Linked DNA regions of Mytilus edulis. Each later gene encodes a partner of the first gene's protein in a complex. Links are inferred from orthologs where the notes say so. Each region holds a gene or a part of one and is shown on either strand. Other genes may lie near its edges.

What was found.
Region 2: MMS19 nucleotide excision repair protein homolog (region 1) and cytosolic iron-sulfur assembly component 2A-like share a complex: the UniProt entries of both Homo sapiens proteins name them as parts of the CIA complex. The link is inferred for Mytilus edulis from reciprocal best matches to the Homo sapiens genes MMS19 and CIAO2A.

The regions. Positions count from the first base shown.
Region 1 is NC_092347.1:91,253,724-91,262,473, forward strand, and holds the start of MMS19 nucleotide excision repair protein homolog, read left to right. Parts: upstream 1-5,307; 5' UTR 5,308-5,346; coding exon 5,347-5,440; intron 5,441-8,750. UniProt on the Homo sapiens protein: Key component of the cytosolic iron-sulfur protein assembly (CIA) complex, a multiprotein complex that mediates the incorporation of iron-sulfur cluster into apoproteins specifically involved in DNA metabolism and genomic integrity.
Region 2 is NC_092347.1:67,800,362-67,809,028, reverse strand, and holds the start of cytosolic iron-sulfur assembly component 2A-like, read right to left. Parts: upstream 3,639-8,667; 5' UTR 3,527-3,638; coding exon 3,313-3,526; intron 1-3,312. Other genes in the region: uncharacterized protein, read left to right, coding at 5,833-5,836, 6,878-7,010, 7,426-8,071. UniProt on the Homo sapiens protein: Component of the cytosolic iron-sulfur protein assembly (CIA) complex, a multiprotein complex that mediates the incorporation of iron-sulfur cluster into extramitochondrial Fe/S proteins.

The DNA.
Region 1 (8,750 bases):
CTCATATTGTATATTCACAATTTTTGGTGGTAAAAAAGTAACTAAGCCCTATGCTTAACTGCAATTAAATGAATTTACGTATTTCTTTACATACATTTATGTGTTAAACATGTTTACATACGCATGGCCTATTTTAGAATATATCCTATATTAACAGTCATAAATAATGATTAGCAATTCTAGTTGTAAATGCAAATTAAACTTAGTTTTAATTCAAAAAACAATTTAGGATAGCGAATAATGTTATATTGGAAATTTACATTTCCAAAATGGCCACCATTCAAGATGGCCACTAAATACTTCAATAGTCCTCAGTTGATATTCTTTGTCATAAGAAATACGAAAGTTTATCAAAATTGGTAAAGAAATATATTTTTCATATTTTTCTAATTATTTTTATAATTTTTTTTGACATGATTTCAAAATGGCCGCCCAGAGCCGCCATTTTGATTTTCTGAATTGGGTTCATAGCTAAAAATGTTAGTTATCACATCAACTAACACTCTGCAAAGTTTGAAACTTTTACCACAATCTGAGCAATTGTTTCACAATTCGACTGGACTATACAGCGTATAACGTGATAATAGACCTACAAACAACAAACACAAAGCTATCAAGATTGTATGAGCTCTGACTTCATAGAAATAAAAACAGACCCTGAGATTAGTATGGCCAAAAATAAACACCTCTGGCACTGTGTTGATAGTAACTATCGACCTCCATCAGATAAAATTCAGAAGTCAAAATCAGACCAGCATGAGAAGACAAATTAACATAGAACATAAATCCGCACACAGCCAGTGAACCAGATAGCATCCGCAGTATATAAAAGACCGGAGAACACAGATAGCACCTATCTGAATCGGTCTACCAAATTGGGAGAAACAGGTCAGCACCATAAGACTCGAAAAAACAGTATATATATAATTGGGAGAAACAGGTCAGCACCATAAGACTCGAAAAAACAGTATATATATATATATACTGTTTTTTCGAGTCTTATGGTGCTGACCTGTGCTGACCTGTTTCTCCCAATTTGGTAGACCGATATATATAACCAGCATATGAAAAGGGTGATCGTTACCATGATGGAATTAATAGACTTGTTTCTTTAATCAGTATATGTTGCAAAGTAATAAAACACATTGTGACCGACTAGTACCATCACTGAATATTAAGAAGCAACAACAGCTTTTGTTAAAGTCCATATTTAACCAAATGGCATAATCAAAAGCTCAAACACATCAAACGAAGGATAACAACTGCTATATATTCCTGTCTTGATTCAGTCATTCTTATGTACAAAATGTGGATTAAACCTGGTTTTACAGCTAGCTAAACCTCTCACTTGTGATATGTTTATCTTTTTAATACTGGTTAATAAAATCTTTACAGTGTGTACTGGCTGGTCATTATCGCGTATGATACGATTTTGACACGCCTACATAGCTGATGAATATGTATGACCATAGATAAGGACAGCGCGTGTAGCCATAGACTGAGAGTTGTAGATTTGTAGTATAACTGTACATATGTATCTTTGAGAATATAGAATAGATACAAGAATTATATTGTTTGTAATATTAATAATCCGAGCAAGCAAAACACGGATCTATCACTTGCAAAATGCAATATGTATGACATTCGCAAAAAATTCCATTATATTGACAACGATGTGTGAAAAAAACAACAACAGACGTAATAGGTAAAATTGTCAATAACATGAATAAGAGGTTCAACATTGTGTTATGATCTAAATCAGTATAAAAATGAACAATTGCGTCATAATTCATCAAAAAAAGCTATAACAACATCAGTAACACAATTATTCAAGTAGATTTCATTTGAATCGATTTTTGCACTAGCCTTCGTCATTTTGACGAGAGAAAAAGTATAGTCATATAAGCGGAATGTTTGTCAAGCCGTAAGACCAGGTTCAATCCATCCTTTTTTTCTTAATATTTTCTTTAGAAATTCAGGAGTATGGCAGTTGTTATCAGATAGTCCGTTTTATGTATGTTTGGTGTGATTTTGTTACTTTTCAGTGTTTCTGTTTTCCTCTTATAGTGATGTGTTTTCCTTAGTTTTAGTTTGTGACTCGGATATGTTTTCTCTTAATCGATTTATGACTTTTCACTTTGAACAGCGATACTTAGTATTCTACTGTTGCCTTTATTTAAACAAACTTGAAAGGCAAGCACTTGCAGGGCGCCGCTTAATTAAAACCCAGATGTATTATGTTATAGATAAAACTCTTGTACAAGAACATTACACAACCCGAAGCATTTGGCTAATCTCGAGCTGTAGTTTAAGTACCGTAACTTTAGAGGACGGACGACGCACTACGGAGTGATGGCAAGGTGGATTTATATCTAAAGACTGGACGGATCTGTTTGTTGTTCAGGTCTAGAAATTTTGTAAAAATAAATTAAATATATATGATCAAATGAAATCAATATGTTGCCTACTGAGTTCATGGAAACTGCATATGTGCAGGAAACAAAAGAGGGACGAAAGATACCAGAGGGGCAGTCAAACTCATAAATCGAAAATAAACTGACAACGCCATGGCTAAAAATGAAAAAAAGACAAACAGACAAACAATAGTACACATGGCACAACATCGAAAACTAAAGAATAAGCAACACGAACCCCACAAAAAACTAGGGGTGATCTCAGGTGCTCCGGAAGGGTAAGCAGATCCTGCTGCACATGTGGCACATTCATGAAAGGGAAGGGGATTGTAGTTACGACGTAAGGAACACATTCGATATCATTTGTGAAACGGGTATTCCATAACGGTCAACCAATTACTCGTGATGGCGTTCGTAAAATTTACGAAGGAATGATTTCAACTTCACCATTTGGAACTCTTGGTTTAATAGCTTCCTTGTGATCAGCAACCCTCTATCAAGAAAATCATGATAGGAAATGCAAGCACGGGAATATCGTATCAATTGGGAGACATATATCCCGTATGCAGGTGCTGCTGGAATGTTGCTACTTAGAAATGGAAAGTTTACAATTGGAAAGCTGAAATCATCTCTTTTGTAGTAATGTTTTGTTTTCAACCTACCCTCATTGTCAATTTCTAGATGTAAGTCAAGATATGAGGTCGCTTTAACTGTATTTGTAGTATCCTATATCTCTAGTTCGATGGAATAGATGAGTTCAACATAGTCACCAAATTTTGAATTATTTAGCTTTTGAAAGAACATCATCTATATAGAGGAAAGTAGAGTTAAATGACATTGCTAACTTCTTGTCCTTCTTCCTAAGAAATTCCTGTCTGAAGTCAGCCTCATAATAATAAAGAAACAAGTCGACAAGAAGAGGGGCACAATTTGTACCCATTGAAATGCCGACAGTCTGTTGAAAATAAGGTCCTCCGAACGTAACAAATATGTTGCCAATCAAGAAATCAAGCATCTTGATAATGTCAGTTTCAGAGAATTTTTTGTTTGTATCAGAGTGATTCTTTACAAAGTAAGACTTATCCTTCCCTAAGACAAGATGCTTGTACATGTATCTACGTTGGTCATTCTTTTTTTATGAAACAAAGCAATACCAACTCTTTCAATTTGTCTTTTAGTTTGGAATGTGGAATACTTGTGTAAAGTGTAGAAAAGCAAAATGTTTTATTAATACTATTACACGATGAAAGAGAGTTAGATTGTATGTACTCTAAAAGATCTTTGGAATTTTTAAGTATCCACTTGAAAGAACGTGTCATGCTGATCGTATTGGCAGGACCAAGTTGCTGTTGCTCCGTAATATATAATTCTATAGATAATGAGCAGTAATGAAAAAGAAAAACATGTCACACAGTAACTTATTGTAATTTTCGGGAAAGAAACCCTTTAAGGAGTTGATTGACAATTTCGACCCTATAGATTTATTTGTAGAACTTAAAAATTTGCTTATCTTTTTAATATTGCCAAAAAGGGCATAGTTTTCAACACGTTAGGTAAAAACACTAAACCAATTTGTTAAAATCGCCATTTATGACAATGACTTCATCATGTTCATGTAATTGCGAGATGAGTCACAATTTTTGCTCCTTTACTTATTTTTTAGGCCTGATTTAGTAGTCCGAGATTACTCTGACGTCCAACGGCTGTTTTGCCAGACAGCTTTTGTCTGGCAAAACAGCCGTTGGACGTCAGAGTACAGCTTGTCTGGCATAACAGCCGTTGGACGTCAGAGTAATCTCGGACTATGATTTAGATGCTCAGTTATAAAGCTTATATATCATATTTGCTGTCGAACTATATCTCTATTCATCACTATTTTCATGATTAAAAAATTATACCAGTATATTAGTCTTAAGTCGAGACACAAAAAAGCAACTAACATTAAGGCAATTTAACACAGAGCACCCGAAATAGAATAGAAGTATTTGTAGTTACTGAAAGTTTTTTCAAAGCTAACAACAAGTTACACTCAAATAAATCTCGTTCTCCCAGATATATGTATCAATCAGAACACAACCAACGGATTAAGTCAAAAACAGTGTGAGAACCGCAATGACGTCGTACTTATACCAGTTTGGTGGTCAGAAGGTTCAAGTTAACCATCTATAAAGAACTCTGCAATATCTTTGCTTTATACTAATTTTGCTTTACACAAAAAAATCAGTTTAGCAAGTTACTTCAAGATGTCCTTATTGCTCATATACCAGACAAACATTGGCAAATTCTTGTACAATTTAAGATTATTAAAAAAAATAAAAATCAAATGACTTAGTTATAGGAAAGGATAGAGAAAAAAAGCCAAAATTGAGCACATGCTATTACAATATATAGTTTACCAACACAGGCGCTTGGGTCTATGATACAGATTTTTTTTTAATTTTTTTTTTTTATTAAAATATTCAATTTTCTATATTTATAATACATATCTATCACTTCTGTGCATGTCTCACCTAGTTTCGAGCGATTTAAACGACCCAGAGAAAATACCAAATTTTACTATCCATACTAAGAATTATGGATAGTAAAATTTGGTATTTTCTCTGGGTCGTTTAAATCGCTCGAAACTAGGTGAGACATGCACAGAAGTGATAGATATGTATTATAAATATAGAAAATTGAATATTTTAATAAAAAAAAAAAATTAAAAAAAAATCTGTATCATAGACCCAAGCGCCTGTGTTTACCAACTGACGTATCTTCATTTTCCAATAAATAATCGTAAACTTCACTTTTGTCTTCAAAATATTAAAAAAAGAATCTGTATTTATCCGACGGCTCATTGAGTTTTTGATATTTTATTGATAGAAAAAAATGTTGGAAGAGCTAGAAAATTGGCGGGAATTTAAAGGGAGACAACTTTAGCTTGAAAAAGATGGCTGCGCCCATGAAATTGGAAAGTTGTGTTCAAAATTATATTGAAAATACAGTTGCAGACCAAAGGACAACGATAAGCTCGGTCACAAAAGGTATTTATTTTGATTGCTGATCACTTATGTGTTCACGTATTTCTTAATTAAAAATCTACTGCTGAGCGGCCTAATGAAGAAAAGGGGGGAGGTGGTCTTACACAATAAGTCACAGCACAGGGTTTTTTTACCATTTGCCGGGTTTACGACTGTCATACAAGTGAGAGGTTCAGCTAGCTATAAAACCAGGTTCAATCCACCATTTTCTACATTAGAAAATGCCTGTACCAAGTCAGGAATATGACAGAACTTTGTTATCCATTCGTTTGATGTCATGGATGTGTTGGACTTTTGATTTTGCCTTTTGATTTTTGATTTTCCTTTTTGAATTTTCCTCGGAGTTCAGTATTTTTGTATCCATACGATCCCCGATTTTAACAAACCCCTGCGGTCACCGACTCTCAGCAACTGGTTATTCCTGACCTGATAAATATTAAAAAGTGGAGGGTTTTTGAATAACCAGTGGCTGTGAGTCTGACAATTATTGATTAAATGCAATATGTTATGTCACTATACTAAATTAGGAATGTTTGACATGTTTTCATACCATAATATGGTTTTAAGAAAACAATGCTCTATTTCATGTATTTTTGTTGAATAATTTGCTTAAAAAAAATAAATTATACGTCAATTGGTCTATACCATGTATACCATTATATGTCAACTGGTGTATTATATGTCAATTGAGGTACCGTATAATCCACCAATTGGTGGTTATTCCTGACCTGTTTATTACGACATTACACAGGCACTCTTCTTAGAATTTTTTCCCCAATATATGATAGGGAAAAGAAATCTGAGAGAAGTGCATATAAAGGTATATAGAAACAAATATTCTGAGACGAGTGCCTTTGGATATTAGTAGCATTTAATATATATATATATATTACCTTTTTCTATGCTGTGGCCTAAAGCAAACACAGCAGTGGCGGATCCAGCCTTTTTATAAATTAGAAGGGGGGTTCGAACTATTTGTCCCCATACCAAAACATTGATCGTCCAAAAAAATGGGTGTTCCAACCCCAGGAACCCTCCCCTGAATCCCTCACTGCACCAATCAATCGGTTTCCCTAGCCGACTGGACGCAATTACATGTACATGTACAACTGGACACAATTACGAATTATTTCCTATTTTGGCCCACTGAAATCATATTTTATTTTATTTATATTTATCAATAAATGTTTCTATAAATAAAAACCCTATTAAATTGTTTATACAAGTCATGTGAATTCTGTGAATGTTGATGACCATGACAAAATCATTCTGAAAATATTATAAGAACGACAATCTCGCCTGCAAAATAAAAAAAACAAAAACATATATATATATAGGTAAGTGCATATTGCCTTCTTTTGTTAATACATAGAAAGAAAAATATCTCCTGATTCTGTTCATATGCGTGATGCCTTTTATCTTGCCCAAATGACCCCACAATATGACAATTTGACTTTTTTTAGACTCTTGTGATCCTATTTTTGGTCAAAATAACATATGTTAACATGGTTAACTTAAGGTGGTACCTAACACTACAGGGAGATAACTTTTTGAAAATCAGCTAAACGTTTTAATTACATCATGTACATTGTGTTGATAAGGGAATATTAAGCTTCTCAATGATCAAAAGTATTGTCTGTCAAACTGCTATATAACCAGTGTAATTTTTCTGATTAAATGGTTGGTTCAAATGTTTTGAAATTTTTATGTTTTTCATAAGATGAAGCGATACACATAAAAAAAAATCCCATGGAGGTTTTCAAAAGTTGGAAGGTCTTTTTTTGTCAAAGGGTCAAAGTAAGTACTTTGTCAAAATTTTATGAAAATTAAACGAGCCAAATTAATTTTAGTCAAGGTGTTGGGTACCACCTTAATCTAAAAGTCCAAAGAACGCCGTAAGAAATGTTGACCTATTTAAAAAATATCATGATGAATGATAAGTTTACCACCGAGATGGATAAACTTGAATTTAGTGCTCCTTAAAAGGAGGAACTAACACAAAAACAAATATTTCCTTTACACATTCGACAGACATTTTGACTGCCATGTCTGCAACCACTGCTGAAGTAATTGAAGTAAAATACAAACTTGTGCATCTTTTTTTCCTACATGTGTCCTATGGAAATGTGTTTGAGATTAAGATTAGTGTATATGCTTTTATCAATCTAGACTGTTGTCCTTGATTTCTTCTTCAAGATACATTGTATATCAATATAGTGCTGTTTGGAATCGTGTGTATAATAATATGTGGCTCACTTGCCCCGTAAAATGAGGTCACGCAAATCTTACTAAAGTATCCAAACGTGAACAGAAAATTATGTATAGCCTTATACATCTTAAGTTCTATGGTATAAACAATTCAAGAAAAGAAGTCTACATAAAAAATATTAATCACAGTTCAAAAATCCTTTGTAATTGTGTCTGGTGAGGCTATAGTCTAGAACAAAATATGAAAATAGTGAACCATAATTTATTAATAGGTTGTTATAATTGAGGGTAGGAATGCACCTTACTGTCATCATTAGCCATTTTCGGCTAATGTCAGCATCAAATCGGGATTCCTCAACATGTTCCTTCAATCATGATTTATCAGAGGTCTCCAATAATTATCCATTACCTTTATTATTTGTAAATAAATAACATGATTCTTCAAATCAGTTGATTTTTTTATCATTAAATGTTCATTTTGTTTTCATGTACCAAAACTTTACATTAGCAATATGGAAAGATTTTTATTGTTATTCTTTATGAACATAATCATGATAATGAAGGAACCTTAATTATGACCATGATGACCCTCATAAGTTTATCCATATGGCATAAGAACTTATCCATTTTGGTAATCTAGAGCTCAGAAAATTGCTCATCCCAATTTGGCAAAAGTTATTACCATTAGATCCTAATCCTAATTCTACAACCAGATTTCCCCCCGGTCCTTTCCGGTCAATTTTTTTCAAGGTCACATGTCAACCAACAATTTTATGCATATATATATATCTTTCAAAGTGACAAGAGGAAATAAATAAATGGAACAAAGAAAAATTGAAATTTAGAATTTGGCCTTGACCTTTGACCTTGACGTAGTTTTATATTCTTTGGACCAAGGACTGTATCACTTATGGTTTACCAGTTACAAATGCACTTCACTTAAATTTCAAATGCATTAGGGGAAATAACTCTCATATGGAGTCTTCATATTACTTCTTTCAAAATTGGACAAGAACTGTTCAATATCATCTGCAAAAATTTAAGCGACATCTTGCGAAATCATAAAAAATATTTTGAAATTTGGCGCAAGAAGAAAAAAAAAATA
Region 2 (8,667 bases), about 23 Mb from region 1:
CATGACGTCATAACTTAAATAACGTCACAAGTAAAATGCCTAACAACAGAACCAAAATCGGAAACGTTACGGTATTTCCGTATCTTTTTTTTAACAAAAAAATAATTTAAACAAACTTCGTCCCCATTCACAGGTAATGCCTGCCTCATATTAACCAAAACATGATTAAGAGTTATTCAACACAAAATAAAACGTTGACAGAATCCCACTTTATTTAGAAAGGATTTTTTTTTTAACAATACACTATCCAAAACATGACTTTAGATTTATTCAACACAAAAAAATCAAAGAGCTGAAAGCTCTGAAGAAAAATGACGCCACTGTCTCTAATATTGGGATAGTTTTTATGCAAGTCTTGATTTTCACATACCGTAATTAGTTTAACAATGCAACATGTCTTGTAAGCATATAATTGATATTCGTATATATGTGTGTGTGTGAAGTGAAGGTGACAACTGGCTGTTTTTTTAAGACAAATGAATAGGTCAAGACTACCTGAATTGTACAAATAAATACCGTAGAAAGGCTTGTATATTTCTCACTGGTACATAGTCTGAATCCGGGTCCGTTCGCGCCCACTCATGTTCGCCCCCTTTCACTTTCACACCCTAAATGTTCGCACCCAATCTTAATTGGTTTTGTGTTTAATAACTCTGTAAGCAAGTGTTTTCTTATAAGTATAATTGTTGTCATTGTCTCAAAATAAAGTGAGACAGCATTTTTATTTGTGTTGAATAAATCTTAATCATGTTTTGGATAGCGTATTGTTAAAAATAATAATAATCCTTTCTAATTAAAGTGGTATTTTGTCAACGTTTTATTTTGTGTTGAATAACTCTTAATCATGTTTTGGTTAGTGTATTGCTATAACTTTGTTTCATTGACTTCTTTCAAAATGAAGTGAGATTCTGACTATGTTTTTTTCTGTGTGTTGAATAGATTTTATCAAGTTTTGGTTATAATAGTGGATTGCTATATTTTGGTTCCCATATTTTATTGTTTCGTTGTTTCAGATCAAAGGGACCAAGCTGTTAAAAACAATTATCTTTTGTGTTTTTCCTTTAAAATCTTCAATGTTTTACTCATACCAAGCTATAAATATATTCAGTATTTACACCAAAGCAATTTAAAACAACAATCATGATTTTCCAATTATTCAACTTGAATTTGAATTAAAATTGAGCGTGAATGAGTAGAGTGCGAACGGACCTTGGGTGCGAACGTGCGAGGTGCGAACGTGCGAGGTGCAAACCTGCAAGGTGCGAAAGTGTATTGGGGGCGAACAGACCTGATACCACAAAATATTAAGTAAATAATCTTTTTGTTACTGTTATCAAAGGTCTAATGAAACTCCGGTAATTTCAAACATTTGTCAAAGAATTCTAGTCAAACCGGCACCTGGTTAACATGGTTAAATTGGCACCTGGACAAATCAGCACCTGGTTAGATCGACACCTGATATAGTCAATTCGTCACCCATGTTAAATATATATTTTAACAGTATTTTAAGCAAATAGAGTAAAAATAAGTAAGGGGTTGCCAGAATTTTTTTCAGTATTTAAGCAAAAAGAGTTAAATACTAACTTTCACATTTTTGGGTGTTCATTGTACATTTAGTCATTTTGTATATATTTATTTTTCTCAACTAAATGACATTTTTGGTGTATTTTTAATGATATATATATGAGTAGTCAAACTAATTATTACGTCTGGCAAGGCTTTTTTAATTTTATTCTGGGACACCTTTCTATGACCGCAAGGCTATGTTAATTTTTTTCTGGGACGCCTTCCTACGAACTTCGTAGGAAGACGTCACAGAAAAAAAATAAAATAGCCTTGCCAGACGTCATAATTATTTGGACTAATACATGAGATATTGGATATTTTTATGCATTATTTAAACCAGTTGAGCATTTGACAGGATTGTTTGTTTAATGCTTTTTAAACTTTACCAAGGATTTGTATATATTTCTTACTATACAAATCCTTGACTTTACTGAAAAAAAAACACCTTAAATTTGCTTATTATTTGGCATGAAAGTTTGATTTATTGAAAGGGACTCATAGTTTTCCATTTTTTTTTAATAATTGTCTAATTGTTAAAACAACAGCTTGGGTAAGGTCTTCGTTGTTTACCTTTATACACAACAACATAATTTCACTTTGGTTTCGTTGTTTACCTAAATACACAACAACATATTCACTATGTACTGGGTAACAGTTATTAATTAATTGAATAGAAAATATTATAACAAATATTATTGGATGCCGAATTGACGTCAAATAGGTGCCGATTTGACTAGATGCCAATTTAACCAGGTGCCGACTTGACTTGTACGTTTCAATTCCTCTGCGATCGTTTGCGGTATTTTCTTGAGAAAAACCTATTTTCCATCATCAAAGAGAAGAAGAAACTGCTTGAAAATGATTCTGGAACGCTTCATGATTGTTAAAATAAGTTAAATTCACTCAAAAAACAATTTTAAAACTTGCAATGTTTAAACAGGAAGTTTCAAAAGCACGTGTAAAAAAAGAAATTAACCGGAGAGAGTGGAAATCCGTACATAACAGATATCACTATAGTACGACTTTGAAAGCAAAACAGTTCCATCCTTTTGTAAAACAGTCTTTAATATACCTATCACATTAATGTTTGAAGGGTCTTAAGCTTATTCAAACCATAAAAGTCGGTATGAAACACCAAAACGGAATGAACAATAACTGATTATGTTTTGTAGTTTACAAATTCTAAACTGGTTCCCGTCAAACTACAACACTTTGTCTGAGTTAGTGGAATACAAGCAGAAACCAGTTAGTTTGTAAACTGGTTCCTGGCTGATTACTACACAATGACCTCTCATGCATAATTAATGATAACACAAGCAGATTCTAGTTTGTATAGAAAATAGTAAATACGAAACCAAGCGCGGTAGGCAGAGAAATGTAATGAAGTTCAGGTCGCCAGTAATGGAACAATGACTGCGTCATTTTCCAAAAATGCTGTCTCACTTATTTTGAGACAATGACAACAAATATAAGAATACACTTGCCAAAACTTGATAAAAAAGCTATAGTTAATAAATACAAAACCAATTAAAATTGGGCGTGAACATGTTGGGTGCAAACAGACTTTGAGTGCAAACATGTAGGGTGCGAAAGTGAAAGGGGCGAACATGAATGGGTGCGAACGTGAATGGGTGCAAACGGACCCGGATTCAACTGGTTGGTTGTAACAACAGAGGTTGACATGACACCAAGTTTTTACAAGATTGAACAAGTACTTGAATGTGCACATAAAGTCATAAAATTTACCAAATATGGTTTCCTGGAGTTGTTTACATTCTTGGTCGATAACTGGTAACACCACTGCAGATTTTGTCTTGCCAGTTTCATTTGAAGAAACGACGTCTGGTTTGTTGTTCTTATTTTTTACGTCGATGTACAGTTCTTGTGAACCTTGAGCAGTTTCATAAGAATGTGGTGTAGTTTTCACAACATTCTGTAACAATGATTTGATTGCATTCATCGAAAATAAGACGCAAAGTACTATAATCTGTAGTTTAACTTTAGACTGTCGAATTTTTCATTTTTAGATGAAAACGGAAGTGATATCCTTTACGGAGAGCAACTTATAATACACACAATAACACAAAATTTAAGTTATAAGAACAAAGCACAACAACGTTCTTAGTCGAGCTTAATTTTCAAATTAATTACAGTTTCAAATGAAATGGTTCAAAGTTGAATCATTGAAATATATTTTGTGTAATAAAAAAATGTAAGTGTATATGTTTTTCTGACATCATTTATCGAACCGGACTTTCTGTGATGCTTTTAGTCTTACCTTTACTTTTAAGACTTTCAACATAAAACTCAATTGTCAGTGAACGAGACATTTCTGCAGCTGCACATACATTCTTGTGTTTCGTTTTAGGGCACTGCATGTAATAAGAGGGCTATTGCCTGCAATATTTGCGTTGAAAACTGGTGGATAACACGTTTGATGTCTAGGATCAGAGACATATAAATACATTTAGTATACATGTCTCTGCATAGGCGGAACTAGGGGGGCCTGCGGGGGCTGGGCCCCTCTTTCGTGGGAAAAATTTGGTTGATTATATAGGGAATCATTGAAGCATGACTGGAGCGCCCCCTCTTCCTTAGGTAAGTCAGCCCCCCCCCCCTTTAGGAAAAGTTCTGGATCCGCCACTGCTCTGCTAGGATTTAAATTTAAATTGAATTATTTTACATAAAATGAATGGATTCAATAAAGAAGTTACCATTTGATTTTGTTAGGGTGGGGAGCTAGGATGAAGAAAATTTTGTCCTGCACTTTGTTTTAAGGATGTTCTTAGGTGAGGGTCAATTGTTCGGATTCCTCGGTGTTTTTCAATACGATACAAGGTAAAATATTTTTCTCCATAAAACCCGTTCATCTTTAACATAAGACTATTCTAAATAGCTCATAAAAGGTCATTTGACAGAATTTAAACAGATTCTTGATTTTCTTTCTTGTGATTCGAGACCCAAATAATACCAATGCAAATATAAGGTAAAGTCCGAGTCAGCCTTTTCCCGCCCGCCATATTTTAAAAATCAAATATTTCAAAAAGGAGCTCCATGACCTATCAATATTTTTTTTAGCTTATTTCGATCTTTAAATAATACCCTATAGTAAAAGTACCAATTTGACAGGTGGTGGTCGCCATTTTGGAGGTCGCCATCTTGGTTTTGAGAGTTCTTTTAGGTTTGTTTACTATTTTGTTGTTATTTCTTCACAACGGCTGCTTTCAGGGCCAGTTTGGTCAGCTTGGCAGCCCGCTAACCTCGATGATGGAGTACTGGTAGATGAGTCTTGGACGTAGTGCTAAAGATGACAGGAAGCGTTATCAGGACCAAAGCCGTGAGGCAGTGAAATGATGGTCAATCATCTTACACCTAGGATACAGCCTTAAGCTGCTTAAACTCTTGTGTGAAATAATCCAGAATCGATTATCATTTATACCTGAACAAGTAATAACTGGCTTTAACTGAGTGCAGATAAAAAGTCAAACGACCTTTTAATGTTAGTGCCAAGTCAGGTCAAATAGGGTGTTTATTAATACAAAACTAAAGCTATTGAAACGTTCTTGCGGTCGCCTATAATTGCTTACATCGACTTCTTTTGAACTTTGGTGGAGAGTTGTCTCATTTGGCAATCATACCACATCTCCTTATTTTTATAAGTCAATAGAAATCCATAAGCCTCGATACATGTAACTTGAAAATTGGACCGGAAAACAACAAAAAAGACAATCGTTACTTTTCTATTTTTCACACAATACCCGACAGTACATACAGCAAAAAGAATCTGGCGACCCCCTTATAATTTCGTATTGTTAAAACGATACTGTTAACAGCTGTAAGAATTACAAGAAATTCCAATATAAATTGAAAAAAGTGCATATCTTTTACGTTATTTTTTTAACATATATTCTATACATTTATACAGCTTTATTACATTTTCAAAAGACTATCATTACAAACTATAAACGCTAGTTTTCGGAATTCAGATGCAGTTTAACGAGATATAGATACATTCAGAATTTCATCAAAATCCGAAGCAACACCCAAATTATATATACGTATATTTTGTTTTAAATTAACTAGGTCTTTCAGGTCATTTCTTTTGGATCGGTGGCATAATCGAAACACATAGTAACACTTGTCATTCTTGAAATTAACACCTGGGTTATCTTTAAGAGATAAAGATAAACAGTCTATATAAAATGAAAAGCAATGTTAAGGTACAAGATCAGTGTCGTATTACGACAGGATTTGTAATACCAAAACATGGGTGAGTGTACATTTAGTTCAAATAATCTGAGACTACTATAGCACTAGTGTTGTAGAAGTCTCAAAAATAATCAAACACCACTGTAAGGTAAGAAAAAAATAAAAAATATAAAAAAAAATACACTAAAAGCTTGTGTGAGTCAATGGTCCGTGTGGAAGACTATACTTTGACCTATAATGGTTTACCTTAGTTTACAAATTGTGACTTGGATAGAGAGTTGTCTCATTGGCACTCATACCACATCTTCTTATAACTATTGTTAACGTATATATAGTTATAGCATATACCGGGTAGTTTCCTTGGTTTCTTGAAAAGATATCTTCGAATACACGTACTACTAAACGAATTAATAGGTATGTAATTAATTGATTGTTGCTCTCTTAATATCCAGTAGAAACTATTTTAATTATAATCAGGACGAAAAAATAAACTTGGAACGGGTCACTTACAATTATGGGCATCTGAAAGAGTTCTTAAGTAATTTGGTCGTAATTCTTACTAAAGTCCTAATGTGACGTGGTTTGCCTCTGTCGCTCTATCTACTATTTGAACCTGATTATTTTTTTCTTCAGATTTTTGAAAGATTATTAAAGGGTGTACTTATGTCAATTTTAGGAATTTGTATCAGATGGTCGGACTCCTAATTTGTCCCCCATGATACAGAGTAAACCAATTTTGCCCCATTACGCCCATTTTTCTGTTCTTATAAGACTTCTTAAGCTCATAAAAGGTAAATCACCAAAATTCTAGATTTCGTTTTTTTTCAATTTGAGACCCAGATAATAACATTTTTTTTTTTATATAAGGTACAATTCCGAGTCATTTAAAAAAAATAAATATCTCCAAAAAGGAACCCCATAACCTAGCGAAATGCTTAGCTTATTGTGTTACTTTACTCTTCCGACTAAAAGTATCGATTTAAATTCTTGATTTTTTTTAAATTTCACCATGATACTACATTCTAAAGATTATCCTCGACAATGAATACCAAGGTTGTTTAGCTCTTTTCCAATTAATGCCCAACATTTTATTTTTTAACAGGAATGCTTTACACATTCTGCTTGCTGGTGATTTTCAGTCTTTGTGAAGCTTCCACCAAAAAGGGAGTTGCCATAAATGGCGGACACAGTTACCATTGTGGAGACGAAGATGCCCTTACTAATATCCACTGGTGGTAAGTGACTATTCACCAGCTCAGTAGTCAGCACTTTTGTGTTGACATGCGCTATCATTGATATGTTCATAATTATAAATTAACTGTTTACAAAACTTAACATGTTTTAAATACTCAGGCTTTTCTACCTCAAGAAAAGATTACTTTAGCTGTATTTGGCAAAGTAAATATGAATGTTTGGTTCCCAATGCTCTTCGAATTCACCTTCGTAACTTTTCTTTATTCGAGAGTAAATAATGAGTCTTTTGTAGACGAAACGCATATAGTCTGGCACATATACACAATTTTAATCCTGGTTATGAAGAGTTTATTGAAAAACACTGGGTCGATGCCAACCGCGGTTGGAGATTTATTCTCCTGGTGTCAAAGTTTAATTTTCTGTTTTTTAAGCAAACCGTTTTTTCTACACTTTTAGGTATGATTGGCACGAGTCTCCGTGGCAACACAGCACAAAACATTGTTCGTCAAGTGTAAAATCAGGATATGTGCCAATGGTCTGGGCATGGCGACATAACATTGATGAACCAGTCCATTTACAACACAACACCCACTATGTCCTGGGTTTCAATGAACCAAATTTTCGGCAACAAGCAAATATGTCACCCCAAGATGCAGCAACTCACTGGAAATCATTGGAATCAATTGCTCACGGGAGAAAGTTGGTAAGCCCTGCCGTTGCCCCGGGTGGTTACCTAGATCCAGTGGTATGGTTAGAGCAATTTTTTTCACATTGTCATGGTTGCCAAGTTGATTACATAGCCACTCATGCCTATTGGTGTAATGCAGACATTACAATGAATTTCTTAAAGAAATTATGGGATAGATTCCACAAACCAATATGGCTTACCGAATTTGCATGTCCGCAGAAAAACTCTGTCAACGACCAACTAAATTACATGAAGGCTGTATTACCTCGACTTGAATCTGCTTCATATGTCTACCGTTACTCATGGTTCGTCAGCAGAACACATGGAGATGGTTGGGTTTTCCCAGCAGCCAGCCTTCTTGATGAGAACGGACCCCATCTTTCAACTCTAGGGCATTATTACAACAACTTTTAGAATTGACAAAATTGACCGAAGAAAAATAAAAGGTGTACCTCAAATGTTTGATATTTTTATATACCAAGTTGCAGTTAATAAATTTTGTTATCGTGCTAAAACTAATGTCTTAACAAGACATTTTACATTACATTTTTATTTTGCAGTTTTGGTTTTGTCCAAGGTAACGCGTTTTGTTATATATTTTATAATTCTGTATACTAGTTAATGTAATCCAACAAAATAAAGAATAATTAGTGATCAGTCTGTCCGTCCGTTTGTCCGTCCGTAACACATTGTGTCCGCTCTATATCTAGAGAACCGTTATAATTTCATACTTTATAGTTGACATGTATATTAAACAACCCCAGATGGTGTGTCAGAATGTTTGTACAATTTCCTAGGTCAAAGTTCAAGGTCAAAAACTTTGATTTTAGTTGACAACTGCATGTCCTATGATAAAGATCGTGTCCGCTCTATATCCTGAGAACCGTTATGATTTCAAAGTTTATTCTTGACATGTATATTAATCAACACCAGAGGATGTGTCATAATGTATGTACAACTTCCTAGGTCAAAGGTCAAGGTCAAACATTTTTCAGTTTCAGTTGACAACC